3 linked regions of the Notamacropus eugenii genome follow. The protein of the gene in region 1 purifies or fractionates together with the protein of each later gene. This does not show direct contact. Links are inferred from orthologs where the notes say so. Each region holds a gene or a part of one and is shown on either strand. Other genes may lie near its edges. The genes, in order: MET, PLXNB1 and GAB1.

The links.
Region 2: the proteins of MET (region 1) and PLXNB1 purify together in Homo sapiens (co-immunoprecipitation; 3 studies listed by IntAct). This does not show direct contact. The link is inferred for Notamacropus eugenii from reciprocal best matches to the Homo sapiens genes MET and PLXNB1.
Region 3: the proteins of MET (region 1) and GAB1 purify together in Homo sapiens (affinity purification with western blotting; 3 studies listed by BioGRID and IntAct, with this or other methods). This does not show direct contact. The link is inferred for Notamacropus eugenii from reciprocal best matches to the Homo sapiens genes MET and GAB1.

What each region holds. Positions count from the first base shown.
Region 1 is NC_092874.1:136,376,228-136,387,009, forward strand, and holds the start of MET (hepatocyte growth factor receptor), read right to left. Parts: upstream 4,881-10,782; 5' UTR 3,971-4,880; intron 1-3,970. UniProt on the Homo sapiens protein: Receptor tyrosine kinase that transduces signals from the extracellular matrix into the cytoplasm by binding to hepatocyte growth factor/HGF ligand. Regulates many physiological processes including proliferation, scattering, morphogenesis and survival.
Region 2 is NC_092872.1:14,565,945-14,575,655, reverse strand, and holds the start of PLXNB1 (plexin-B1), read right to left. Parts: upstream 4,114-9,711; 5' UTR 4,099-4,113; coding exon 3,827-4,098; intron 1-3,826. UniProt on the Homo sapiens protein: Receptor for SEMA4D. Plays a role in GABAergic synapse development. Mediates SEMA4A- and SEMA4D-dependent inhibitory synapse development. Plays a role in RHOA activation and subsequent changes of the actin cytoskeleton.
Region 3 is NC_092877.1:140,474,693-140,484,397, reverse strand, and holds the start of GAB1 (GRB2-associated-binding protein 1), read right to left. Parts: upstream 4,375-9,705; 5' UTR 4,116-4,374; coding exon 4,044-4,115; exon of another isoform or gene 3,965-4,043; intron 1-3,964. UniProt on the Homo sapiens protein: Adapter protein that plays a role in intracellular signaling cascades triggered by activated receptor-type kinases. Plays a role in FGFR1 signaling. Probably involved in signaling by the epidermal growth factor receptor (EGFR) and the insulin receptor (INSR).

The sequences.
Region 1 (10,782 bases):
CTATAAAAAAGAGTGGGTTAGACTAGATGACCTCCGGCATTCCTTCCAGAGGAAGTAAATGTCTGAGACAGAGCACTGGACCTGGAGTCAGGAAGATCTGAGTTCAAATCCTGCCTCAGATACCAGCTGACTCTGAGCAAGTCACTTAACCTCTTTCTGCCTTAGTTTCTTCAACTGTAAAATAGGGATAAAAATACCACCTACCTTCCAGGGTTGTTGTGAAGTACAAATGAGATAATATTTATAAAGTGCTTAGCACATAGTAGACACTTTATTAAAGGCTTGTTTACTTCCTTCCTTACAGTTCCAACTCTATTATCCTGTATTAGGTACTGTGAGTTCCCTATATTGGTGAAATCACAGGTCAAGTACCTATCTCCATTATGTCTCTATATTTGGCAATATGTCATAGTAGAGAGAGAGCTGGTCTCACAACCAAGGACATCTGGGTTCAGATCCCACCTCTGATTGGTACTAGATGTCTGACCTTGGAGAAGTCACTTAGTGTCTTAGTTCTCTGGGAAGTGCTCTGTCTGTAAATTGCAGAGAAGGTGCCAACTTGTTCTGGTAGAGAATTTTTCCTCATACAGGAATTCTCTGTATCACTGAAATCACAGATCCAGTTCCTAACCCTATCTTTTTATGTGTCATATGATTTAATTACATTTTTAAAATATCCCATCCCTCTTTTTTTCTTGCACTTAGGATTACTCTAAATGTTTGCCTACACTGAGCATTCATAGACAAGGTTTTTCTCATTTTTGTAATTTGCGATTGTTCCCAAGGCAATTTACAATTGTTCCCAAGCCATTTTATTTTTATATTACAGTTATTTGTATATGTATCATATCCTTTTACTAGCCAGGTCATATCCTCCTACTGGTCTGTAAGCCCCCTGAGGGCAGGTATTGTGTCTGTCTTATCTATATTTTCTATCCCTTCTAGTGTCTCTCACTGCATTGGTATATTTGTAGAACTGGAATTTGAAATCTACAGTGTGTTATTTACCATTGTACTAGATTAAAAGATAACTAAGGATAAGAACTTTATCTTTTAGATCCCCTCCCCCTGCCAGTCTAGCATGCTATCTGGCACACGCTGTGCTCAACAAATGTTTGCTAAATAAAACTGTGCAAGAGTGTGGCTGGCTAGGGGTCCAGATGCATGCAATCCACTCTGCCACAGATTGGGGTTAACTAGAGAAGAAAGTGGAAGTCAAAGCATTCCTGCCTAAAGTGACATTAGTTAATAGTAACCTTTATTATTCATTTGCTGCTATTATTACCTTCCTAAAGCAGCTGATGACACTCTGCCCTGTCACAGAGAAAGCCACTGAAAACGTGGCTAATTCACTAAGGTACAAAGTTCCTTGCCTACGGATTCCTAGATTTACTTACTTCCCCTTTAAAAAGAAACAACTGGAAGCCTAGAAAAAGCACGTCCGAAAATGCACTCTGTCATATGAAGGCAGTGCTGCAAAGGGAAAAAAATGAAGAAGATTCTGGAAGAGACTAGTTAGTTCTGATGCATGAAGGGATAGGCAGTGCCCTCCAAACCTGAGGTCAACAGAAGAAACTGGAAGAAAAAATAAGACTGTTGGACTCAGAATCTCTGACAAACCAGAGCGTCTGACATGAAGATGTGTAGAGAGATGGGTGATAAATAAATAGTGCTAAATCAAAATAATGAAGCTAGAATAAACAATATCAAACAAGCTTACTCTTTTCAGTCTATGTGACTACTACTAGGTTTCAGTCAGGCTGCAAAGGCCACCCTCGAGCCAATACTCTCCTTCTTAAAGGAACCACTCTTGAATTACTCAGTTTTGCTTTGAAAGAAAAAATGAGATTGGAGAAAATAATACTGAGTATGATATTTAGTTTTTCTACCAAAAATATTGCCATTTTAAAATAGATTTCACCTGCAACTAACAGAGTAATTTCTGATCCTAGGCTTTCTTGAGTAAAAGTAGGTATAGGATTATATATCAATAAATATAATAGAAGAAATGGTAGACATTAAGAAAAGAACAGAATAGCCCCTTTCAATTCTTTCCCCTTTCATGCCTTCGCAAAGTGGCATTTTTTCTTCTGGTGAATACATAGTCCTGTAAACATTAGCTATGAACATTTATTCTGACTTGGTCTACTTGATTCAGACCCTTTCGATCACTTAGATAAACCCACCCATGTTTGCTGAAGGCATGCACATCTAACACAGATTAGATGTACCCTATGATGCTGCTTAAAGAAACAAAACAAGTCCTCCCAAAAGTAGGTTTTCTATGGAACATACATGTAGTAGACTCCAATTGTCAGAAGTAAAAGAAATTTAGGTTAACAACAACTCTGTTGCATTTTAAAGTTTTGAACAGAATATTATCCTAAACACCTGTATGTTTTATAAAAGATTAGACACATTTTGAGTACTGTGAAAAGTTCTAACGAATGGTATAAAGGATCTTCCTTGAATTGTCATCACACAATTCAAAAAGCATAGCTCATAAAAACACTGCAAAGTAATTAAGAATAAAAACAAAATATGAATACAAATGCTCTTCAGTTCTCTACTAGATTTGACTATGGAAGTTTCTGTACTTAGATAAAATTCAATAAGCTTTGAGATAAAAAGGGAAAGGCTATATATCTGTAAATAATCCAGGCACCACTTACACTGTTTACATAAGAGCACAATTCATGTTCCAGTAGCACAGAAAAACATAATGTACATCATTTTTTAGATAATCATGCTGCAGAAAAAAATTTATTAGTTAGCCTAAACAGTTTTGCTGTAAAGGAAAATAATGTTTTATTGAATCCATTTGCATGGCATATGTGTCTGGATGATAGAAACTAAAAAGTAAGCCTTCAATGCAATGTTTAAAATGTGATCATTTCTTAAAACTGGGGAGAGTAATTTAGAGTTCCATATATTCCTTGCAATGCCAGTTTTTACTATCACCTCATATTCATTGCCTATCATATCTAGGCAATTAATGGATCTTGATTATTTTGCCTAAGAGTTGATAGTATTTCATTTTGCCAAAGTGCTTCTTCAAACATAAAACTGTGGGAAAAAAGGTAAGCTACACCAGCATAACTCTTCCTGCACCATCATGGGAACAGTTTCCAATTGTCAAATTAGTCAGTGGATTTTTTTTTTAACCTAAAAGGTCTGATGTATGAAATCATCCTTGATATAGATTTCTGTGCTGTAGAAGTGCTCAGTGGAATGACTTTTATTTATAAAATGCACAAAGTACTTGTCAATTATTGAAACAGTAATCATCTCTCTACCAATACCAGCAACAGTTGCCTGAATGCTAGCTATAAGCAGTTTCTCCTTTATATTCTAAACAATGACATAAGGTATGATTGGAGACTGAGGAATTATTAATTGGCACAAGTGTGGTCTGCTGTAAAGAAATGGAAAATTGGGACCCACACAGAAAGGTGTACACATGCACCTGCCCCTTCCAAGATTATCAAATCATAGTTTCGATTAAGTAAGGAGTCAGCTTTGCCCAGATCTTCCCAGCATCGCCTGGGGTCAGAGTGACTGCATCCCTTTGTACAGGCTGAGTCAGATCACCAACTGAAACTTATCTATAGCGGTGGTATACAGACAAACATACACACACACACACACACACACACACACACACACACACTTCACAGCCTCCCTCCCTACTCCTAGGCACAAGATCTACTCTGAGTCATCCAGGTAATTATCCAGGGTGTCATCACACACACACCTCCCCACCCCCCATGGTAAAAGAACAGTTTTTGCTTTCACCTTCATTCTGACCATACAACTTTAGCTTTTAACAACGAAAAACTCTTCTCCCTTCCCCTCCACCCTTCTCTAGCGATCCCTCTCCTTACCCAATTCACCCACCACTCCTGTCTCACAAACAAAGAGAAGGGGCTAGGGCGGGGGTGTATTTTAGAAGAGAGGTTCAAGTCTTTACCTGGAGGTGCCAGGGTCCGCACAGAGAAGCAGCTCAGGGGGTAAAAGACCACCCGCAGGCGTTCGCCCTGTCCCCTCCCCCCTTGCTTTCGCAGCTGTTCAGCTGTCGTCCCGCATCTGGATTCCTCAGTCAAGCTGGTCTCCGCTGCATCTGGACACAAAGGCGCTCGGAGCGGTGCGGAGGGGAGGGGGGTACGGCGGGAGAGGAGGTGAGCGGCCCTCCCGGGTCACCTGGCAGCCCTGGCACAGAACAAGCCAGCAAGCGCTCCTCCCCTCTTAGGTGCCTGGTGTCCGCTGCGCTGTGGAAGCTCCCGAAGGCAAATCGTTGGTGCTAGGGCTCCCTCCGCCCCTTTCCACATGCGGTCCTGACCTGCCCGTGACTCACCCCGGCATCGGGTTCCGCGTGTGCGAGTGTGCGGCTGTGTGAGTGTGAGTGAGGGAGTGTGTGTGTGTGTGTGTGTCTGTGTGTGTGTGTGTGTGTGTCTGTGTGTGTGTATGTTCCAGAGGGGCGGGGAGGTGCACTGTCCAACACTTCTTCTGCACGTGCCCCTTTTAGTTCTCTCCTTTGGGACCCAAAGCGCTGCAGAGGTGGGCACTGGTGCTGTCCAGAAGGGCAAATCTAGCCCCGGACGCCGCTCATCTCCTGGCTACTTTGGCCGATCTCTTTTCCTTTTTCCCAGTAACCTTCATGGAAAAGAGAAACTTTGTAGATAAAGGAGTTTTCTCGCTTCCCCTTTCTCTCTCCTCCTCTGTTTCTCTCTCTCTCTTTCCTTCTCTTTCTCCTTTCCCCACCTCGGTCGGCTTGGAGTTAGCACAGCTGGTAATAAGCAAGGTTGAGTCTCCCCCTCCTGGTATGCTTGTTGAGATTGCTGACAGAAGATTCTCTCTCTCTCTCTCTCTCTCTCTCTCTCTCTCTCTCTCTCTCTCTCTCTCTCTCTCTCTCTCTCTCTCTCTCTCTCTCTCTCTCTCTCTCTCGTCTGTCTCTGTCTCTCTCTCCTCCTCCTCCTCCTCTTCCTCCTCTCATTCCCCCCTTCTCTGGCTTCTTAGTGTCTACACACACACACACACACACACACACACACACACACACACACACTCACTCTCACTCACTCACTACCCTAGGAATAAGCTAAACAAGGCTTATCTCTGTAGTTTGTTTCCAACTTTTCCCTTTGCAGTCCAACACTGACCTATGGGAGGGGATGGGGGTAGGGAAAGATTTGGGCACTACAGAAACAAGGAATTTATTGTCCAGGGGGTGGTGGATAGTCAAGTTGTTGCAACGGTTACATTATGCAACGCTTAGCCCCCACTGTAATAACTCTGATTTCAAGAAGGAACAACAACTGCTGAAGTACTGAGCCCAGAGGAGACTCCAATTTCTTTTACTTGCTTTCTCAGCAAGAAAACAGGGTGATTAAATAACTAGGAAAATACCAATGAATCAAAAATATGAAATGAAATTCTTGGCCACTGAAATCTTCCCATTTTTAAAGTGTGAATGTAAAGGTTACTGTTTTCCACTCATTGTGCAGCTGTATCTTCAGTTTGCATGCTTGATAAGAAGTATGCAGAAGTGGAAGTGCATTGGATGTGGAACCAGATGACAATTCCAATCCTGCCTGTCATTTAGTACCTTGCAAATCAATTATCCTCTTTGGACCTCATTTTCCTTGTCTGTAAAATATGTGGTTTGGAACTGCCTACTCTTTCAGCTCTAAAGCTATGTATGTATAGTTTCCAAATAATGTTATATTAATACATAAAGCAGGACCACCATTTGTCCTTCTCTAGAGATTCTGTCACTCATTTGGTGAATAAGGAATAAATTAGGCCATAAGATTAATGATTGAGATTTGTTTGCATCCATCTGTGTTGAATAGTGGAAATCTTGTTGGATTTGAAGTCAGAGGGCCTAGTTTCAGTGCCCAGCTCTGAGAGACACCAATGTGACCTCACTGGACAAGTCACAGTGTGAATTCTCTAAACCTCCATTTGCTCATCTGCCAAGTGAGAGGACTGGACTAAATTACTTCCTGGGTTCTTTCCACCTCTAAATTTGTGATACTTTGGTTTAGATTTAAATTCTAGGTCTCCTGCCCTGACCTGCAGGGCCAGTATGAGTGGGGGGATCGAGGAGAACGCCTACCTGAAGGGGATGGGTGAAAAGAGGAGTGAGACCAAAGGGGTGGTAAGCAAGGTCTGATTTTATTATCAGGGTTGCAAACTTATATAGAGAAAAGACAAAGAGATTCCAAGCAAATTCCGTGGTGGGCCAGCTCTATCTTAGGACATCGTACTTTGGCTATCTGTGTTTACATAACATCTACTGCTTCACCAGGTCCCGCATTGGTATGTTTGCATAGCCTCAGGCAGTCCCTTCTCTTATCTCTCCACGGGATCGTGGGGTGCGGTTTTTCTTCTCAGGCGGGACGAAAGCAAGCAGGTTAGAGGAGGTACAGGTGGGGGGCCTCAGTCCCCGACATGTCCCCCTTTTGACTAAAATTAAAACATGCGGGCGGACTGAAATTAAAATATGCGGGCGGGTGAGAGGCCTGTCTTAGGCTATGAGGCTGGTTTCCATATTCAGAGCGCTTTTTCGGCAGATGACCCTGTCTTAGGCTAAGCAAGGGGATCTACGTGGCCGAACAGCCACGGCCTTGCTCTACTCCCGTCATAGGGAACAACTGCAGCCGCGCCTATGATCCTGATATATGGGGCCTCAATATTCCCGTCATGGGCACTCTCACAGCTGCCGCTCCGTGTTTATCCCCTAAAGGCCTTCCACCACCGCATGCAACGGGACTCTGACTGCACAAGCTTGGAGAACTGAAGTCCGTCCTCCTCGTTGTCTGCAGGGTTCTCCAGAAGTGCCAGGCGATGATAATGGATATTGATAGGGCTTTTAAGAGAAGCCTCAATCTGCGTTTTAATGAAAGAGGTTAGTCTACTAAAAGCCCAGGGCCCAAAAGAAAGAAGTAGGAGGAGACCAATCAAGGGTCCAAGGAGAGGGAGGAGATATGGGAGGACTCCATTCAAGCCACTCCAGAGGGGATTTTCGAAAAGTTCTTTGCGTCATCTCCTGAAAAACAGGAAAAGAAAAACAGATGTGTCTCAGGGAGGTGTAGTCCCCTGGACGGTATTGTAAGCATCTGGCTTGTCCATCAACTTGATCAGCCTTTCAGGCAACCATCTAGCATTTTGGCACTTTGAATCATAAATACAAGCATGGCCTTTGCCCCAGATTAACACAGGATCAGGGCCCTGCCATTTGCCAAGAAGGGGATCTTTCCATTTTGCCTGAGCGTAGGTTTGGGCCGTAGAGGAATGCCAAAGGCGGTCTGCTGCACTCTTTGCCGCAGCGTCAAGGGTGAGAAAATTTAAAACAAAAAGGGCGTGATTGAGCAACGTTTTGGCATTGCCAGCTCTGGGATAAAGAACTTCCCCCCCTGACTGTAATTTCAGGACCATGTTTTTCAATGTTTGATGGGCCCTTTCCACAATTCCTTGCCCCTGAGGATTATAGGGTATGCCAGTTACATGCTTAATATGTAGTTGTGTACAAAAGGATCTGAAAGAAGAGCTAGTGTAGCCGGGGCCATTATCTGTCTTAAGAATTTTGGGCTGCGGGAGGACTGCCAAGGCACTAATGAGGTGATTAATGACATGCTTGGTGGCCTCTCCAGGTTGCAAGGTGGCAAAGATAAAACCACTGAAGGTATCAATGGACACATGAATATATTTAAGCCGACCAAAAGGGAGGTAATGAGTGACATCCATTTGCCAAAGCTCCCCGGGAATGAGACCTCGGGGATTGATGCCAGTATGAGGTTCAGGGAGAAGAGTCAGGCAGCCAGGGCACTGTTTCACGATCTGTCTGGCTTGTTCCCGGGTGATAGGGAACTTGAGACGAAGCGTATGGGCATTAAGGTGATGCAGCTTATGGGCTTGCGTGGCAGCAGCAACAGGAGAGGTAGACAGCGCAAGTAAAATGCGACGAGTTGCCTGATCAACCTGATCATTCCCTTCAGAAAGGGGACCGGGGAGGTCGGAGTGGGCACGAATATGTCCAATGAAAAAGGGGTGCTTGCGGGAGAGGATTAGAAGCTGAAGAGTGGCAAAAAGAGGAGACGCATTAGTGGAGGGACGAATATACGGGACAGTTTCCAATAGAGGGACCGAATGTGCAATGTAGGAGCTATCAGTATAAATATTGAGAGGACCCGGAACAGATTCAAAAACCTTGATGACCGCTGCAAGTTCCACCAGCTGCGCAGAGATGAAGGGTGTGTCAAAAGAGGTGGCCTTTCCATTAACACTGAAGGCTGCCTTCCCTGTGGCGGATCCATCAGTGAACGCCAAATGGGCGCCTCTGATGGGCTCCGCCTTGGTAATCCTTGGGAAGACAACAGGTGTTTTCTGAAAGAACTGGACAAGCTTGTCTGAGGGATAATGATTGTCTATAATCCCTGGGTAGGAAATGCAGTTAACTGCCCAATCGTCATCATTCTGAAGCAGCCATTGAATCTGTGAAGCGGTGTAGGGGCAGACAATATGATCTGGTTCCCGACCAAAAAGCCGAAGGGCTGCCTCTCGCCCTAGGCGCAGGAGGCCAGCCGTTAAATGCGGGTAGGAGGGGAGGATCTTTGTAGGTGTGGCTGGCATATGAATCCAAAACAACGGATGCTCCTGCCACAATAATCCAGTGGGGGAAAAAGCGGTAGAAAAAATTAAGAGCCAAAGAGGTTTTAGAGGAGCGTAATACCCAATATGTTGATCATGAATAGCTTGCTCAATTAAGGCAAGGGCCTTACGGGCCTCCGGCGTGAGAGAACGGGGTGAATTTGGGTCGGAGTCTCCTTTTAGAATATCAAACAAGGGTCTCAATTCCCCCGTAGTGAGCTTAAGATAAGGCCTAAGCCAATTCAATTCTCCCAGAAGCTTTTGGAAATCATTAAGGGAACAAAGGTGACTTACTCGCAAGCGAACCTTCTGGGAGAGAATGCGATTAGTTAAAAGTTCAAACCCCAAGAAGAGCTGCGGGGGGTAGGTTTGTATTTTATCGGGGGAAATTTTAAGGCCCCGATTTTCCAATGCCCTAATGAGCTCCTGTGATACCTGGGTCAATTCCTCATCATCTGAACCTGCAAGGAGGATATCATCCATATAATGGATGATATAAAGCTTGGGATACTGCAAGCGAAAAGGGTCAATTGTTTGTGCTACATATTTTTGGCACAGCGTAGGGCTATTAGCCATGCCTTGTGGCAAGACTTTCCACTGAAAACGCGGGGAAGGGCCCACACAATTGGTAATAGGAACACTAAAAGCGAAGCGCTGGCAATCGGAGGGGTGGAGGGGAATGGAAAAGAAGCAATCCTTAAGGTCAATTGTAATCTTAGAGAAACCTTGTGGTATGGCTACAGGAGAGGGGAGCCCAGGTTGAAGGGCCCCCATAGGAACCATAGTTTTATTGACGGCCCGCAAATCATGTAAGAGCCGCCAGTTACCTGACCTTTTCTGGATAACAAAAATGGGTGTGTTCCACGGGGATGTGGACGGTTCTATGTGCCCTGCAGCTAATTGCTCCTGCACTAAAGCGAACGCTGCTTCCAGCTTTATCTTGGGTAAGGGCCACTGGTCTACCCAGACGGGTAGGTCATTTTTCCACGAGATCCTATCTGCCTGGAGTGCAGGAGGACCCGTGGCCCTCACGAAAAATGGTTCTGATTATCTGGGCCTTCAAAGCCAAGGCCTGCTCGCCCTTTCCTCCCTTCAGCAACAATTGGGGATGGTTGTCCTTGCCCTCTTTTGCCTAGCCTTTTCCCTGGGAGAAATCCCTGGGAGACCATCTGACGGGTTACAACTGTATTTGGACTGCACATAATTATCCCCTGCTGAGAAAGAATATCCCTTCCCCATAAGTTGACAGGTAGGCCGGGGACCACAAAAGGCCGGACAGTCCCTTTATTTCCCTCCTTGTCTTGCCAGGGCAACCATTGGGAACTCTGTAGAGTATAATGGGACTGGCCTATGCCCTGTAAGTGCGTCATGGATGGTTGAAGGGGCCAAGAAGGCGGCCAGCTATCTTTTGAAATAACAGTTGAGTCAGCTCCGGAATCTAATATTCCTTCAAAAGATCTGCCTTGAATGGTAAGCATAAGCATGGGGCGGTCCTGGGAAATGGCCTGAACCCAATAGATGTCTGAGGACCCGGGCTTGGAGTGGCCTCTAACGGTGGTGAGGGCAGGGTATGGGGTTTGTAGGGGGAGCGGGAGAGCCTGTGCAAGGCGTTGCCCCTGATAGACAGTGAGGGGTCCCTGTAGGGTTGAAGCAAGTATCTGGATTTCCCCCATATAATCACCGTCAACAATGGAGGGGTGGATTAGAAGGCCATTAATAGTAGTGGAAGCACGACCAAGAATAAAAAAATAAAAATTGGGGGGCGGGGGGCCAAAGATGCCTGTAGAAATTATATGCACCCCACCTTCAGGGGTCAATATTGTGGTGGAGGCGGCACACAGGTCCACCCCTGCGCTTCCTGAAGTGGCTCTGTAGAGTTGGGTGTGGGCGGGCTGGTCCCCGAGGCCCGCGGGACGGGGATCGGCTGGGGGGCCCGGGGCTGGCCCCTCCGGCCGTTTCCCTGCAGGGGGTGGCCATTGACATCTGTCGCGGAGCGACAAGTGTTCGCCCAGTGCTTCCCTTTCCTGCATCTGGGGCAGAGGGTGGAAGGTTGAGAACCCCTATTTTGGGTTGGAGGAGGGGGGGTATCTGGCGAGCTGGGGCACTGCCGGGCAAAGTGACCGGGTTGCC
Region 2 (9,711 bases), on another chromosome or scaffold:
GGGGTGGAGCACCTGAATCTTTTCAGTCTTCAGCTTCCCTCTGTTCTGTCTGGCCCCAACAGGCTGATCTCCTAAGTGACTCGGGGCTCTTCTGTATGCTGTTGGTGGCCTGGGGGGTCAGTCTATCTCAGATAACAAGAGTCCAAGAGACAAGCCAGCCAAGTCAGAGAGGTTTCTTTGGTGTCCTGGGGAGGCCTATTTAGAAAAGTTCTTCTGTATACTCAGACATCTCTTGTCTCTCATATGAGAAAAGGCAAGAGGGCACAGATCCTAAGACCCCCAGATCGACTACCAGTAGTAGGAACAATCAGGAGACAGTGATGACCTTGGCACTCAAGTCTGCTCCCCACTAACCAATCCTCCCTGCCCCCTGACCCAATCAAGTGAAAGAACAGCACTGCAGGGAATGGTCAGTACACAGAAGAGGCCAGAGAGGAGGGGCTCAGAGCTGAACCCTGAGCCTAGGCTCCACAAGGAAAGAGCTGCGAAAGAGGGGGTGGGGACCAAGCTGGGTGGGAATGGGGAGGCAGTAGGCCACGGCCCGGCCTGGGCACAGCTCCCAAAATAGCTCGGGGGTTTCCATTTTTAGTGTGGAGAGAACAGGGCAGCTCTGTGGGAGCGGGAACAACACTGCCTTTGTTTATCCGCCCCAGGCGGGTGGGGGAAAGGATGAAGGTGGGGGGGAGAATGAGTGGCATGGAAGAGAGGGTGTGGGGGTGAGAATTGAGAAAGGAGGATGGAGAGTAGGAGGGCTGGAAAAGGGTGAGTAGGGACTGGCTGAAACCTCTCTACCCCATACATCCCACTGTGGGAGAATAAGGGAATTTCCTGCTTCCCATGCCACTGACTTGGGTCATTTTCAGATCCAGACTGGAGAAAAGGCAAAGAAGGGATGTCTTCTCTCTCAGGATCCCACAGGCTCCAGAAACTACTTCAAGACACCACTGGACAGACAGAATCTAGAGATCTAAAGTTCCTAGTTTGAAAGGAAGAAATCTATGTCTGGATGTATTGCTTGCTTCTGACTTTCTTTTAAATCAAGGCATTAGATTCCAACCGCCTTCACTTCAATCTCGGAGGACAGCAGCCTTGGGAGAGACCTTGGCAGAGCCCCACCCCCCCCAAACCCCCAGACTGCAGGGTACCTATGGCACAGACCTGGTAACAGACAAGCTCAGAAGGTCCCTCAAGCTCAAGTGTACTTCTCCCTAACAAAAGACATAGATGGGGCTTTCCCTAAAGACTAGTTAATGGGGCTGAAACTGGGGAAGGGTATTTGGATGAACCTAAAGTCAGAGAATCCCCTCCCCCTCCAACTCAGCTGCTCTTCTCTCTAGCACCTTCTCCCACCCTGTAGTCTTGAATTCCAAGCTCTCTCTCTCCGACCCCCCTCTCCAAGTAGGAAGCAGATGAGAACTCCAAAAGGCTGATCAAACAGATATCACAGGCATCTGGAGCAGATAGGGAGTGTGTTTGTTGGAGGGAGTGGAGGCAGATGCCCATATAAACCATAATAATATAACACACAGCAGAAGATAATCACCCTGCATCCAGAAATGTTCTGAGGGTGCCGACTGCCATAGCTGCCCAGTTCAAGGAACAGACAGGAGCTTCCTCCAAGGACTCATGTCCTATCCCACAGTGGGAACTGAAAGGCCTGAACTGGGGGGATATGGGGCCAGAGGGCCAATGGAATCGGGAGGCAAAAGGGGTTCCTGAGCAGGGTAGGTCCAGAGCTGCTCCCATCATCTATATTCCTCCCTCCTTTCTTCTACTGACCCTGAAGAGCCAATCAGTTCTCTTTTCCCCTCTCAAGGGATTCCCAGGAGCTGTCTGCATGGATGGAGTGACTCTAGGGGAAGGGGGCTGGAGAGGCCAGAACTGCTCCTATTCTGTTCTCTATCATCAGCTTCCTCCCAGGACCCTATATACCTTTCCCCATTATGGACAAAAGCCAGAGTCAAGCAAGAAGAGTCATGCAGACAGAGAGGGAAAGACTGAAGGACAAGGAAAATAAAATGGAGAGGGTCAGGGAAGATTGAATGAAAATGAAAAGGCATTTATTAAGTGCTTAGTTTGTGCCAAGCATAGTAACAGAGGAGAAAGGGGGAAGGACAACACAGAGGTCAAGGGAAGGGACAGGGAGAAGGGTGAAGATCAACTGGAGAATCTGGGTGGCTTCAGAAACATCTTTACTAATTAGAGACCATGAACCAGAATGTGTTATTGAGATTTGTACACAAATGAGACAGTGCAAGTCCTTCATTCTCCCAAAACTTTCTTCAAAGCTTCTATTGCCTCCAAATGGGCCTCTGCACCCTACCGACCCCTTGCACCCTAACACTCAGAGCCTACCACATTCCAGTTGGGCCCACGAGTATACCATTCCTTCCCCCCAACATGTTAGCTAGAAAATCCCTCCTCCAACAATGTCAAAATTGGCACCAGATTATGCCACTCTAGGGCTCCCCACTTTTTCCAGGCCATCTCTCCATTTCATCCACCAGGGGGAGTACGATTTCTTCACCCACCAGTTAAGGAGATGCCCAAGAGCTACGGCCCCCAAATATACACCCCCTCCCCACTCCAGGTTTAGCCCTCCTATCCACTTCCAGGAGACAAGAGGTGAAAGGCTGAGATAGCGGTGCAGAGAGGCTTCCTCTTAGCAAGGGAACAACCCCTCCCCTTTCTTCAAAGGCCCAGACCCTGTCTTGATCCCTGCCCCTTCGGCCCCTCCCCCCACCTTGTACCCAATGAGGTGCCCACCACCTGGCTGGCTCCCTGGGTGCCATAATCAGGAGAAACCAGCTTTCACTGGAATGGCCGGGGAGACTGCTTCCTTCCCATCTCTGAGCTGGCCAGTTACTCATTAACCCCAAAATGTGAGCGGGTTACCCTTTGATTTGAGCATTTAGAGGGCTGAGGAGAGGGAGGTCTCAATTTAGATTATGTATGAGGCGAAAAGGGAGGGTCGTAATTCAGGATATGCCTTTTGGTGGTTTAGGTGACACAATCCAGTCTGACGGAAGACTGTCACTCTCCAGGGTGTGTGTACTGAAGGGGAGGGTGGTCACATTAAGGAAGCCCACATTAGAGGAGTGTCAAAATCCAAATCCACTCTATATGTACAGAAGGAGCGGTAGCGATTTAGGGTGTGTTCTGAGGGAGGGACGAGGGCCACAATTAAGGTGTGCATGGAAGAAGGGGGGGGGGGGGTCGCAATCCAGGGAGCGTTTGAATTTACTGGGATGGGAAAGGTAGAGTTACGACCCACTCTCCCAATCCTTCTTGGATCTAGGCAAGGTGCAGGAGCCCCGAACCTCTCCCACATATTCCACCTTCCGAGGTGTGGTGTACCTCCCGTCTTCCTCAGTACAGGCATCCCGCCCCCAGGGTCCAAGAAGGAAAGACCCCCTCTCTGGTCATCTGGTCCTGGCGGGGAGGGAAAGGCTGTTGGCTGGTGAGGATGGAGGTGGGGGAGAGGAGGGGCTGCCCAGGGGTGGAGGGAGGGGGCACTCAGCTCCAGTTCAGGGGGAGTCGATCCCGCCTCCCGCCTCTCCCAATCAAAACCACCCTGAAGTTTTCTTCCACCGGAGAAGTTCGGTCCAAAATGCCCACAATGAAATAGCCCCCTGCCCAGCCCCAGGCCCCAGATCAAGAGCTCTCCCTTCCAGGTGGCCGATCCACACAACAGAAAGCCCCAAGCGGTCCACGTAAGTGTTCCCCAAGCCATCCTTACGGATGCCGGCTCTCCACCTCCGGGGACTCGGGGAGTCTGGCCGGGGTGCTCGGATTCCTCGCCGCCCCCCGGGACGCACGGACTCACCACTCGGGCCCCGCTGCTGGGACAGGGAGGGAGGGAGGCGCTCCCACCGTTGCACCGCACACCGTCTCACCGCACACAGTTGCACCGCGCTCGAACCCTCTGCTGCGCGGGGCCGCGCCGAGCCGAGTGGCGCTGCGCGGCGCGGCGCTGAGCTGGGCTGAGCCGAGCCCCAGAGCGGCGCGGGCCTCCCCTACCCCCGCCCCCGGAGGTGGATCCGGCGAAGCCACAGCTGTTACCCGGAGACCGAGGGGCGGAAAACTGCGCCCGCCCATCCCCCACGGCCCGGCGCATTCACCTCCAGAAACAATGGAGACAAAGCCGCGTCCTCCCCCGGGCTCTGCGCCTTCCTTTCCTCCCTCTCTCCAGACCCCGGCTGCCCAGGAACAGAGACACCCCCACCCCCAGCCAGCCCGCAGGCCGAGAAGGGCTGCAGGATGAAGCAGGGAGGGCAGCACAGAGGGGCACCGCGTTTTCTCCACCAGAACCCTCACCTGCTTGTCCTTTGCCTTCCCCCTTCTCTTTCTACCCTTCCTTCCTCTCCACTTTCTCCTCCAGATTAGGAAGGATGGAAGGAGAGAGAGAGGAGAGAGAGAGAGAGAGAGAGAGAGAGAGAGAGAGAGAGAAAGAGAGAGAGAGAGAGAGAGAGAAAGGAAGGAAGGAAGGAAGGAAGGAAGGAAGGAAGGAAGGAAGGAAGGAAGGAAGGAAGGAAGGAAGGAAAGAAGGAAAAAAGAAAGAAATCCCTAAGAAAAGGAAGGAAAGAAAGAAAGGCATCCCTAAGGATTGCTCCCGTTCTTGGAGGACGACCCACAAGTGGACATATTAGTAAATACCAAGTAAGCTCGACTAGGGAGTTGGGAGTGGACAGAACACCTGAACTCTGACTTAAAGAAATCTTGGGGTCCTATAAGGTAGAAGTAAGGAAGGAATGTATTCCAGAAATTGAGGGGCGGACAGCCAGTGCAAACGCGGCAAAATGGTCAAGTGAAAAGGGAGGCTGTTTGTGGGGTCGGAAGACCGACAAAGTACGACTCTACTGTGTGACCTTGGACAAGCCATTTAACATCTCTTGAATGAAGAGGTGAAGTTGATCTCGAAAGACCCTTCCTGAGTCTAAATCTATGAACAGAGAAGAGAGATAGCATACCCAGTTCCCAGAACTTCAAGAAAACTCATTTTATTCACGTGGATGGGACCAAGGTGCAATATTTGGAAATGTAGGTGGAAGCCAAGTTAGTGGCTTTAAATGCCGGGCTGAGGAGTCTGCATTTTCTCCAAAAGCCAATAGAGACGCATTGAAGACTTTTGAATAGGGGATTGACATGGTCCGACCTGGGGCTGCCCTTCCTTCTCTACCATTTTCCCCTTCCACTGCCTTTCCCCTCTTCTCCCCTCCCTCCCAACTTCCTCATCCCCCATGAAGCTTCCCCACTCTCTCCTCCTACAATTAAACATTAAGCCCTGGGAAAGCATTGGACTAGGCTGTGGGAGAAAGAACACTTAGTTTAAATGTCACAGTCTCTGCATTCACAGTTCACTATACAATGGAGGATATGACACAAAGTCACACAAAGCCAAATAATGTAAAAGTCCATGAGAGAGTGCACATAGGAATATGTGAAATCTGTCTATGATAATACTAGCTGAGTTACTAGAGGGAAGTGGGACATTTTGAGTTGGAGAACAGCATTGTCCAATTTGACCGGAGCTCAGTAGACATAAAAGGTGAGAATTAGTGTGAGATGGAAAGGTGAAAGTGGTGCCAGATGTGAAAACCCTAAATGTCAAACCAAGGGCAATAAAAAGTAGCCAAAAATTTCTGAAGAAGTAATAAGACGATTTATTTATTAGAAAATGTAATCTGGCAGTAGTGTAAGGTTGGACTGGAAGGGGAAAGACCTGTTCAGCTATTGGAATAGCTTGGGGGGGTGGAGATAAGGAATTAGTAATGAGAGTTTGTGCTGTGGTAGAGTCATTTGGGACAGAAGGGTAAGGATTTGAGAGATGTTACTGAAGGGGAATCAATAGAACTTGATAAGCATTTGGATAGGGGAAGAGTCCAAGATAACCTTACATTTTCAAACATGGGACACAGGATGAACCATGTGGTATCAGCCGCAGAAATGATGAAGTCAGAGATTTAAAGGCTTAAGACAGTAAGTGGAACCTCCAAATTGCAGGTGTCATATGCCCCATAGGCAGCTGGAGATGTAGGTCTGGAGCTCAGAAGAATCAGTGCTGGAGATTTGAGGGCTGATCATAGAATCAGTCATGGCAACCATAGCAGTGAATGAGAATGCCAAGAGACAATGTGGAGAGGAGAGAAGAGAAGCCAGAATAAATTCTTGTGGTGGAATCACTTTAAGAGGATGGGAAATGAATGAAGAGACAGTGAACAAACAAACAAAAAGACCATTTAGGTCTTTTCCAGCCATAAATCTGTAATCCTTTGATTTCCATTTTCTTACCATCCCCACCACAAGGTTCTTGTCAACATCTAGAATTTTCTGGAGTTCTCTGTGAAGGCTTCATTCTTAGGGTTGGGGAGGAGGGGACAGAAGATGGACCAATGAGAGGAAGTAGTTTGGGGAGAGGACAGGGAGAGATCATAAGATAATAGTTATTGCTGGAAGAGACTTAAGTCATCTAGTTTTCAGTTGAGGAAACTGAGCCCTAGAAAGGTTATTTTCCCAAAGTACAGAGAGGATGATAAGTAGCAGAGCTAGCATTTGAAATCAGGTCCTCTGACTTCAATTCCTCATGCAGCCTTATGGGGAATGAGTAAGGGGGGATGAATGGGATAGTTGAGGTAGGGGCAGTAAAGGGGAAAGTGCAAAGTGCAAAGTCATTGATTAATGTTAGAAGGGCAGGGAGGACTTAGCTGCCAAGCGTGGCCTACATGTTGTCCAGGCAAGGGGAGCTTGAGAGGCGGGCCCCAGGAACATACTCTGCCCCTGTTTGGGCCCCTTCCCAGGCAAGAACAGGGATTTACCTTCAAAGCTGGCCTGCCCCACCCTTCCCCAACTCTCCCTGCTGAGTTGGCACCGCCCATGCTCCCTGAAGCCAACCCTTACCCCAGCTCTCTGAACTACTCAGTGGTGTCTTTTCTCTTAAGCCCCACCTACCAGGCAAAGCTGAGTAGGACCTCAGGTGTCAGGCAGCTGGGGGTCCTGGGCTGAGCCTACATCACAGTCCCTCCTCCTCTGCCTTTAGTTTGTACTGGCCCAATGAATTTCCGTGGGCCTGTCTGGCCAGAGGTGAGCAAAAGACTCAAAGCCTACCTTCAGGAAATCAAAAGGCACTGCTATTCTCCAGCCTGGCAAAGAGGGAAAGCATGTGTGGGCATCAGTCATTCTAACACCTCCACGTTTCACTGCACTATGATGCTCTAGAGGTGAAAGATAAGGACCTGAGTCTTTGTCCCTTAGTCTAAGCAATGCCTGTCTAGCATCCCTACCATGTCAGGGTCCATTCTAGTCCCCTTCAGAGACTGACAGATTGATCAACCACATTGGCTGTTCCCAAGCTCCCAGTTGTCAGTCAGTTAATAAACATTTATTAAGCTCCTGTTGTGTACTAGGCACTAATTTCTGGAATACAAGCTTTTGATTCTCAGGATTCTGTCATTCAGGTTTACAACTATCTCAACTCTTCACATTTTCTTTTCCTGTCCCATACAATGTTACCAAATCTTGTTTCTTCCTCCACGTCTCTAGAATTCCCTTCCTTCTCTCTATACCCTAGCTCAAGCCTTCATCACTGTTTGCTTCTTAATTGGTTTCCCTGCCTTCATCCTCTCCCCTCTCTCCAATTCTGCACACAACTGCCAAACTGATAATCATTAAGTATTTCTTAAATGCCCTCTACATGCCAGACAGTATTCGAGGCACAAGGGTACAACTATCTTGTTTGGAGAGTTGAAATGAGGCAGCAGTGTATTCTAGGCATATGCAAAAAGCATAAAGGCTTGCTGACAAAGAATGTCAGCCAGTTTGGCTGGAAGGTAGCATGGGCGGGGGTAATGTATTATACTTAATAGAATATATTCACATCCTTGCATGATGCTAGACATCCTCTATTGAGTTAAGAAGAAATCCTGTTCCACACTCACCCTAGCTTCATTTCCCCCAATTAAGGTAAGCCAATCTGTGTTTGTCATCCATGACCCAGGGCCCAAGGACTCTGATCTCACATGGAGGGGACCTGACACCATGAGGGTCTTTGTCTCTCTCCAGCTCATTGCTTCTACCTGGAGTTCTCCAGGAAAATCTTACACCGTAATCACGGCATGGCTAATGTCTAGGTTTCCCTAAAAGTAGGTAGCAAAGTCCTCGAGTTCTGTAGAGATACTTAGTGTATAATATGGATATTGGGTATGGGATGGCCTTTGTTTCTCACACCACAGAAAATGTATAAGCTAGGAACAAATACAAAAATATAAAGCAGTCCCACACTCCCACCATCACTTCCAAAGAAACTTTGGAAAGCTGTTCCCATTCCCTGTCTATCCACTCTGACCCGTTACCACTCCTCTCTTCAAGAAGCTTCAATGGGTCCCCATTGCCTTGAGGGTAAAATACAAACTCTTCTATTGAGCCTTTAAAGCCTTTCTTTCACCGTCGGCCTCCCATCTATCTTTCTAGACTAATGTGACGTTTCTCCTTCTCAGCCAAACTGGGTGAACTCTAAAGTGCTTTCCAGATCTAAATCTATGATCCTATGATGCTCAGGAAGACATTCCATTGAACCTCTGTGCATTTGAAAAGTCTATCTCCACTCCGGGAAGCCTTTCCCAACCCTTTTTAATTCTAGTGCCTTCCCTCTCTAAATTATCTCCTATTTATGCTGTAAATAGCGTTTGTACGGATTTGCTGCCTTGTAGTCTCCCCCACTAGATTACGAGCTCCATGAATATTGGGACTGGCTTTTGCATCTTGGCGCTTAATAAATGTGTATTGACTTATTGACTGGAATGTTCTCTGAACTTTACCTCTGCCTTGTAGATTTCCTAGCTACTTTCAGAGTTCAGCTCTATCCTCATGTTCTCTATCACCCTCTGTTAAAAGTTCTCCCCCATGCCCTACCAGGAATTACTTTGTGTACAATTCATGTTTACTTCTATGAGTACCTGCCATCTCCCCCCAATGAGACATAAGCTGCTTGAGGACAGGGACTTTCTCATTTTTGTCATTGGGTCACTAGTGCCCAGTATTATGATATATGATTTCATCCGTATAGGAAGCTCTTGGTAAAGAACTTCCATCAATGGAGACAGGTTCCTTTGCAGCAATTTCCCTGGGGCACTAAAAGGCAAGGTGACTTGCTCAGTGTTACAGCCATAATATGGTGATAGAAGCAGGATATGAAATCAGGTCTTCCAGACTCTGAGGCCAGCTCTTTATCACAATGCTTCTCACTGAGCATATCGTGTAAGAGAGTTATTGAATTTAACTAAAGTTCTAATCAACAGTGTCACAGAATTACAGAATTTGAGAGTTGGAAAGGGCCTTAGTGGCCATGTCTCTAGAGGCAGCTGGACAGTGCAGGGGATAGAGCACTGGGCCTAGTGTCAGAAAGGCCTGAATTCAAATCCATTCTCAGACACTATGTGACCTTGGGCAAGTCCCTTAACTTCTGACTCTGTTTCCTCAACTGTAAAATGGGGATAATAACACCTATTTCCAAAGATAGTTGTTAAGGATCAAACAAGTTAATATTTGTAAAGCACTTAGCACAGGGCCTGGCATATAAAAATCGTAGATGTTAATTTACTATTTTATTCAAACCTACATACAAAGGAATACCATCCAGTCTCAGCCTGAAGGTCTTCAAGAAGGGGGAATCCACCACCTCTAGAGGCAAGTCATTCCATTTTTAAACAACTCTAA
Region 3 (9,705 bases), on another chromosome or scaffold:
GGAATAAGCATTTATTAAGCATCAACTATGTGCCAGGCACTGTGATAAGTGCTTTTAACAATTCTCTCATTTGATCCTGTTATTATCCCTGTTTTACAGCTGAAGAAACTAAGGCAAGCAGAAGTTAAGGGACTTGTCCAGGATCACACAGCTAGTCAGTGTCTCACTCAGGTCTTCCGGACTTGGAGGACCAGCATGCGCCATCCCCTGTACCACTAACTGCCTCAGCACTACATGAATGCCGATTGTTATGATCACTTATTGGATCGAAGCTGTTCCTCTCCTATTTCCATGTACGTAAAGTCTTTCAGAATTTGCCCTGGCACATTCAAACAATACAGAGGCGACATAATATGATGTTATTAGCAAACCGTCTGGCAGAAGGTCTTGTTTGACAAATTACTAGCCAAGTAACACCAATTCAACCCCCTTCCCTCTCTAACAAACATAGTATGATTAAAAAAACAAGACAACTCCTATCTGCAAGGACATAATAAACTAATAAGACTACAAGACATACACAGTATATGAGAGGAACAAAGGAAAAAACCATTCTTCACTCTCCCTCACTCCACATTTCTAATCAATTGCTAAGTCTCGTGGATTTGACCCCACATCATTTATTGCTGCTAACTCCTTCTCTCCACTCACCTTGCCACCACCCTAGTTCAAATGCTCACCCTGTCTTACCTAGGCTATTACAAATAGGCTCCTAATTAGGCTCTCTTCTTCAAGTCTCCCCCCACTCTAGAATCCATTCTCTACCTTTCCCCTAGTGGCATTCCTAAAGCACAGGTCTAATCACACCACTCCCCACCTCAAATTTCAGAGGCTACCTATTACCTCTAAATCAAATACAAACTTCTCTGTTCTGCATTTAAAGCCCATCATCCCATTCTCCCTTCTAGGTTTATCCCCCTCTAGACTGTGAGCTTTGACCTAGACCTAGAGAACAGAAAGCATCTTTCTTGCCTTTGTATCCCAAGTACTTAGCACAATACCCAGCATACTGATAAACGGTGCTTAATAAATGTTTTTTCAATGACAACTCCTTCACAACTTCTACAGTCCAGAGAAACTGGCCTTCCTGTTGCTAGTCAAACAGATTGCCCCATTTCCCATCTCTGTCTTTGCATGGAATGCTGTCCCTCCTCCTGGTCTCTTCCTCTTGGAATGCCAGCAATGCAATCAGGAAGACCAGTTCAGGTTCGGATTCTAATGCATATTAGCCTAATGAGGATGGTCAGGTCACTTCTCTCTCACTAACACTAACACTATAAATTGCAGAACAAGAAAGTTTCCATACTAGAAGTTCCCTTTACTGATGAAATCACAGGTCCAGGCAAAAACAAAACAAAATCTGTTCTATTTCATGAGATTATTTTCAGCACATTTGAATGAATTAATGCAAAGGCCTGCAAATGCAAGGCTGCAAGTAAGGCTTCCAATTCTTCCCCTGGTTCAAAATATATTAGACTCCTAACCCCCTAGAGACATGAACCATCTATTCTCTACTATGCATTCTGGCCTCAAGGGAGCCTGGCTAGTATAATGCTCACTTCAAGATGGCCACACATGTTAACCAGACAAGAAAAGCAGTGATTCAAACTCCTATAGACTGTAACTGTTTCTGTGAATCCTCTTCTTTCATCCAAACTGCTTAAGAAGTCAGGCCATAACTTCACTTGATGATATGGGCTGTTGTTTACGTTGCCTTCTTATCTCTGGAAGGTAGTACCTAAGTCACTCTCCCGGCCTCAATTTCCCCATCTGTTAAAAGGGAGTGGTTAGGGCCTGGACCTAGCAAACTCCCTCTGTCAATTCAGGTCAACAACTTTTCTGCAATTTGCATTCTTAGAGAGCTCTCTAGGGCAGAGGTATCAAACAGGAGGCATGTGGTCGTGTAGTATTTGCAAACCAGATTACAAAGTAATTGGAAAATATTTAACAAAATAAATAAAAATACGATACAAAGTTATTTTCAGCCTTCTTGGAACTCTGTGCGACCCCATTTGGGGTTTTCTTGGCAGAGATACTGAAATGGTTTGCCCTTTCCTTCTGTGGCTCATTTTACAGGTGAGGAAACTGAGGCAAACAGGGTGAAGAAACTTACCCAGGGTCACACAGCAAGTAAGTGTCTAAAGCCACATTTGAACTCAGGTCTTCCTGACTTGAGGCCAGGCAACTAGCTGCCCATAATATGCTATAGATAACGTGAATGTTATTTCTAAGTCAATATGTTACATTTTTATGTTTGATACCGAGAGGCCAAAAGAGAGGTGGCAAGTGCCCAGAGTCACAAGTCTGTATGTATCTGAGGCGGGGCTGCAACCAAGATCTCCCTGGCTCCAAGGAGCTCTCATTTTCACTATTCCAAGACTACCTGATGACAGGCTCAATTAAAGATCTCTAGGGTCCCTTTCAGCTCTAAACTGTATAAATGCCTACAAAAATGACCTTTCAACTCTCTAAGTTTTAGATGAAAGCAAAATTCTTCCATAGGACAATCAGACAAAAATGAAGCCAAGGAAAAGGCAAAGACTATGCTGATTGGGTGGAATGTGTGGCACCCACTCTTTTTTATGCAGTAATTCTTATTGATAAATACAATTCTGGAAGGAACTCGATGAGGAGACCTTGAAGACCTGGAGTAAACAGTAACGTTAGCTAAAATCCTATCCTTTAATCATAAAAAAAGACAAACAACTACCAGGAGACACAGGTGGCCAACAGAAAAAGTTCTGGTCTCTGAGGACCAGTAAAAAACGTGTGGGAACATTTTTATAAGAAAAACATGTGGCTAAGACAAAAGTGTCATCCCTTTCCTTTTCAGGAAGCAGTGGTAAAGACATCAAGCAGTCTTAAAAAAAAAAAAAAAGCTCCAGGAAGCAGGATCCTGGAACTCCCAGAGTAGGACAAAAATCTCCACTTAAGTCAAGCTGGTTCTTTCAAGGAATTGTTTTTCCAACAGCTCAGTGAAGAAACAGCTCCTTTGTATCAATTACATGGATACTGTTTTTAATCGACTCTGGTGCCCGGGGAAAGAAGCCCTTCAAGATCTCGCTTCTGACATCAGCAGTCCCTCTCCTACGTGACTTGACAGCGCACCGGAGGCGTCCTAAACACCAGCCCTTTCCCGGGTGAGGAAATTAATCAATCGGTCTCTCAGCAAACCCCCATCGCTTTCCTGGCACAAACAAAAACAAAACCCTAAACTCCAACGTCACCTCGATCCTGCATTTCTGTTCAGCAAACCAAGGGTCCCTTGGACGTCTAAAATGCAATTCCTTGATCCTATCTCCCTAAGATTCCCCGTCCTCCCTCCTTCCTCCCCTCCAAGAGTAAGGAGAGGTGTGGCGGGGGGGCGGGAAGGGGGGGGTAGAATCCCGAAGAAAAGCAGAAAAGGGGAGACGGAAACAGAGAAAAAGCAAGGGGAGGGAGGGCGTAGGGGAGAATCCACAGTGGATTCCAAATTCTTTTTGCTGTAAAGGGGTGGAGGGGGGCGGGGGGCGTCATCATATTAATAATATGCGTGTCTGCCAGACTCTAAGACTAAGATGCATATTCTAAAGAAGGGTTTCTCTTCTCGGATCCAAGGAAAAGGGATAATAAAAAACACTGACAGCCTTTTTTTTTCTTTCTTTTTTTTTCTCCCAGAGAAGTCCCAGGTTTGGGTCTTACGGCTGTGGGTCCTAGGGCTTTAGTCCGTAAATGACGTAGTTTTCAAGAGGGGAGGGAGGAAAGTTGCTAGAGAAAGTCTCCCGTTCGAGTGCGTGAGTGTGCACTTGAGTGTGTGTGTAATTTGTGAATGTGTGTGTGTAATTTGTGAATGTGTGTGTGCGAGGTGTCTGGCCAGAGAAGGGGGAGGGGGCCCCGGAGGAGGGGACCCTGGGGCCCGCTCCCGCACGCCCCTGCCCCGGGGGGCCGCCCCTGCCCCGGGGGGGGGGGGGGCCGGGAGGCAGGCGGGGAGGGAGAGGCGGCTTCGGGGCGGCCCGGCCGAGGTGCGAAGCCCGCTCCAGGTGGAGCGCCCGCGCGGTACTTACGTAACGCTTCAACTTCTTCTCCGGGGGGGATTTTCGGAGCCATCCCGAGCAAACCACTTCGCCGCCGCTCATGGTGAGCGAGTATCTCCGGGCTCCGCCGCCGAGTCCTGCGAGGTGGGGTGCGGGCGGCCGCAGCGCGGGCGGGCCGGCCCCTCGCACGCCCTACGGCCGCTCCGGCCTCCGCGGACGACCCGGGAGGAAGGGCAGGCGGGCGGGCGCAGGGAGGGCGCCGGGGCGGGCTCCTCGGCGGGGCGGGCTCCCCAGCGGTGCGGGCTCCCCGGCGATGTGGACAGGAGCGGCTCGGGAATGAGCGCACTCCCCCTCCCGGCTCGGCTCTCTTTCTCTCGTTCCCTCCCTCCCTCCCCGCCTTCCCCGCCCCCCGCCCCTGTCTGCTCCCGGCTCACACAGACATGAAAGGAGGCTCCGCCGGAGCCCGCCCCTCCCGCGCCTCGGCCGCCGCCGCCGCCCAGCAGCCCAGCCCGTCCCGCTGCCCGAGCGCGGGGGACGCGCGGGGCGCCCGAACCGGAGCCCGACCTGGAGCTCGCTCCCCACCGGCCCGCAGCCCCGCTCTGGGCGGCCCCGCTCTGGGCAGCCCCCGGGTGTGCCTGACGTCTCCCGGAGACTCTGCCCGGAGCCGGAGCCCGAGCCCCTGGCCTCCCGGCTTGCTCCACCCCCTGCTGGAGAGTGCACTGCACACACTCACACACACTCACAGTGCGCACACACACAGTGCATTCACACTGCACACACTCACACACACTCACGGTGCGCACACACACTCACAGTGCGCACACACTCACACTGCACACACACACACACACACACACACACACACAGACGTGCACTAAAGCACCCTCCTGCTCGGGTTCCCTGTCTCCGCAGCCCCCTAGCCTACTCCTCCTTCCCAGGCCTTCGGGGAGGGCGCGCAGGGGCTTTGGAAACTGGGGAGCCACCAAAGTTCTACCGTTCGAACTTGAGGCCCCCCCAAGGCCCTGGGGCGGGGATTGGCTGGGGAGGGGGTTGGGGGAGGAATCCTCCCTTCTCTCGCCTCCAGTGGAAGGGAGAAGAGTGAGGAGGGGGCCCGCCAGCCCCGCGCAGAGCTGCGGCGAGACTCTCCTCCCTCCGCTCCCCTCCTGGGAGTGGATTCCACAGCCCTAGCCCTCCTTTTTCCTCCTCTTCCCCCGCCCCTCCACTTTCTCTCCAAGATCCAGCTTCAGCCTAGGAGTTGGTGACAGGTTGGACACACATTCCCCCTCCCCAGCCCACCCCTCCCCCTGCTGAGCCTTCCTCCCACCCCCTGCCTTTTCCCACTCCCTCTTCCTCTCTTTCCTCCTCCCCTTTCCCAAGTTTGGCCCCTGGTGGCTGTTCCTCTCCCTGTCCGGACTGAGAGGCCAAGACTTTCGCTTGAAACTCAGCCAAAGCCCTTTCAGCTCAACAACAAGGGCAGAGCAGAGAGACTGGAAGGAGGAGAGGCACTCTGGGATCTGTAGTCCGGGAATGGCGAGATGTCTGTTTCCTTTCCTCCCCGCTTCCCTGATGGCAGAAGGAGACTTCTAGAGAGCCCCTTTTTTGCCTTGAAAGTTGGAGGCCGGGACCCAACCAGGCAGGCTCACTGAGAAAGAACGCTGATAAGAGGAGAGGAGGAGGGGTTGGGGGAGGGAACACGGCTGAAATAAGAAATCTCAGTTTTTGCCCTCTGGACTGTATGTTTAACCAAGTCTTTTTTTTTTAATGTGGTTGAAAGGAAGTTTTGGAATTTTCTCTGTGGAAGAATGTGCAGAACGGCCCAGAGAAGGTTATCCGAACTGTTGGAGGCTGGAGTTGCTTCTAAGTCCCTGCCCTTGGGTGGAGGGGGGAGGGATAGGATAGAAAGAATGAGACTTGCAACCAGAAGAAATAAGATTCCTAGTCTGTGACCATGGTGGGAAATTTAAAAAAGAAAAAAGAAGTTTTTTGGAGGGAAAGAGCAAGCTAATTTAAATTTAACCAAAATTAAATTGAAGAAAAATGAACTGTTGATTTACTGAGCAGAATCATAAAATTTTAGAGGTGAGAGAGACTTCAGTCCAACAGTCTACAGCAACGATTGCATTATTACATTATGTTTTTGGGTACAGCAGAGAGATGGAAGCTTTGGAATCAGGACAGACCTGTAGTACAAATCTTGCCTCTGACAGTAGCCATGTGAGCCAGTTTCCTCAGCTGTAAAAGGAAAGTAGCATCTCCCTTAGAAGGTTGTGGTAAGGATCAAATGAGATCATGCATGTAAAGTTCTATGCCAACCTGAAAGTTCTCATTAAAGGTCAGCTATTATCATTTCAGTGACATTTTATGATCATTCACCTCTGTGATCAATTTCTGCTACTTCTCTTTGCTTGTGCTGGCTGTGAAACAACTCCTAAGTTTTTGAAAGAACGAACTGTACCGAATGTTTATGGTGTGGTGCTAAAGTCCATTTCATAATAATAAAGTGTTTTGTTTTTCCTGGTGTTCATACTCATAAGCCTGGCTTTTAAAGACTTTGAAGATTCCGGCTCACATAATATGCAGTTTTTTTCCTCTGTTTATTTTTGTGGGTCTTAAAATGCAAAGCATTTTTAAAAATTAAAGTTGTAGATTTGTTCCACCAAGAAATATTTATTAAGCATGTACCATGTGCCAGGTACTGTGCTGGATGCTAGGAATACAAATGTGAGAATGCCCTTGCCCTCCAAGACCTTAAATTCTGAGAGAATTCACAGATAAGCAAAAACAGTGTAGAGGCTGAATCTGTGGTTTCATTGCAATAGGGAATCTATCAATGCAGGTAACTTCTCTGCAGTTTATAGAAAGTTGCCTAGATCATGACTTGCCCGCTTGTTAAATGACTTCTGGAAACATAACCACTGTTCAGAGTCACAGAGTCAGTATGTATCAGAGATAGGATTTAAATACGGGTATTCCTGGCTTTGTTTGCCATAATCTACTGGAGAAGGAAATGGCAAGCCAAAAAAAATCTAGTGGACGTTATGGTGCAGGGGGTCTGGAAGAGTCAGACACAACTGGACAACACCAGTAACAATTCCTGACTCTGAGGTCAGCCAGGTCTCCCTACTTTCATATATAAAGTGTGTATGTGTATGTAAGTATGTATATATATGTTTGTGTATGCTTAGATACTCTGTGTATGTGTGTGTGTGTGTGTGTGTGTGTGTGTGTGTGTGTGTGTGTGTGTGTGTAGTTCAGTCATTTCAGTTGTATCTTACTCTTTGTGGCCTCATTTGAGGTTTTATTGGCAAAGATACTGGAGTGGTTTCCATATGTGTGTGTGTTTGTGTGTATATACATACATGTGAGGTAACAGTCATTCATTGAATAGACCTGTTTAAGAAGTAGCCAGGGCATGGGCCCTTTAATGAGGCAAAGAAAAAGAAAGACATCAGACTGGGTGGGAAACAGCAACAGTTAGTATTGGGCCTTTAGGTAGGGGCCCATTGTTGTCAGAGGTTCAGAGTGCAGTAGGTTTAAGGTTTTGGGAAAGGAAAGAAAGGAAAGGAGACAAGAGGAGAGGAGAGGAAAGGAAAGGCATCCTGATATCCTGATGAATATCATATCATCTGGTCACTTGATTCAAGTGACACTGAAGAAGTGAGGCTGGTGACCTTGCACAGCCCTCCCTCACTCAAAAAAAAAGTCAAGTGCAGGTCTTATCATCATTTCTTTGATGGCATGGTCTTCTTCAGCAACGAAGGACAAACATAAGAACATACATGTACACATACATATATATTTATATACTAAATAGGAAGTGATGATATGGGAGGACAGTAGCTTGAACCAACTGGGGTGATCAGAGAAGGGCTGTTGAAGGTGGCCCTCTTAGAAATAAAAGTGTCATTATCATAGATCATACATTTCAGAGAACATCTTCTTAAATATGTACTCTGTGCAAGACACTACTAAGAACTGGGTATGAAAGATGAAAAACAAGAATTTTACGACTGAATAGAGGAAATTGAAACCCGTAGGATATATAGGGATATAGGATATAGTGACTGAATCCAAACTTCATAGAACAAATCCCCTTAATAAAGGAATTTGTTCTGTAAAACTTGGACTCGGTCAAAAGACTACACCCAAGGACCTAAAAGGCCACATGTGACCTAGAGGTTGAAGATTCCCTACCCCTGGATTAAACAGTTTGTCCAAGATCACACAGTTATTGACAGAATTAGAAGTCTAGAATTCCCATCTTCTGACCTTTTTACTGATCCCCCAAAATAAATATTCTTCACTTAGACTCTCTGGGCTTGTTTCTTCATCTACAGAATAAGGACATTGGTAACGAGTACCTTTGAGATTTTGGACAAACTACTTCATTTGCCTAATTGGACATCACATCCTCTCTGACTCTCCGTTTCCTCATCTGTTAAATGAAAGGTTGGACCAGATGACCTCTAAGGACCCTTCCATCTGTAAATCCTATGATCTGGCAACACTGAGATTCCATACTGGTAAGCCAAATGATTTTTAAATCATGTGTAAAGATTCTTACTAGAAATCACCACGTCTAAAATTATGCAAACATTTTCTGTGTTGCTCGGTCCTTGTCCACGTACAGCGTTTAGTATTTTTGCACCTCAAACATTGGTAACTAGTGGTTAGGGCAAGGTATCTGCCTAGACTTAGAAAAAATGGGTGGAGAGTCTGGGCAGGGACCATCACTGTGTAGGGAGGGAGATTAACCACACCCACTGTATAAAAGCAATTTAAGGAATTTTTAAAAATAGAGTGCTCTGCTGTACTATGAAATGTTGATGCCCTAATATTTTCTTGTTCCCAAATAAAATAATCTTATTCCAGTCTATACAATCATTACATCTAAAGATTTATCTGAGAGGCAGGTAGATGGTTGTGGTAGATAGAGAGCACAGGCCTTAGAGGGAGGAAGAGAACTGAGTTTGAATCCTCAGCTAACCACTCTTTGTAGTTTTCTCATCTGTAAAATGGAAATATCAAAGTATCTAATACTTCCCAGGGTTATTATAAGAATCAAATAAGAGAATATATAGGTAGATATTTATGTGTGTAAATATATCTATTTCTAGATATGATGTATCTATATTTATTTTTAAAATTTCACTTTACCTTCTTTCTCTGTCTTCTCAACAAACCCCCATAGATCTACATAGATCAAATTTTAAACTACGTTGTCCCTGACTCCATAGATAAGTGAAGCATCTCATGAAATGACAGTCAAAATTTGTCCTCAAACTACCAGCCTTTTATCAATGGATAAGGATAAGGATAAGGATAGCTTTGCAAACTTTAATGTTTTATATAAATACTCGTTTTATTATGGAATTCACCTCCCTTTTTTAGTTCCCTTATTGTGAACATTCAATTTTGTATTTACTTATCTGTGAACAGGCCATCTCACCCTTCCCTCCCCTCCCCCTCCCACCCCAAGGAAACTACTCCTCCAGGGTAGGGACAGTTTTGGTTCTACATCCTTATCTTCAAGGATAGTGAATTTAAAATAGTAGATAATTTTAAAATATTTGCTGAATTAATCTTGGGATTAATTTGGAATGGGCAATAGTTAATTTCACATAGTTAATAGCAATATGTTGAATTAATCTTGCATAGAATATATCAAATTCACATGCACTTTTTAAGAGTT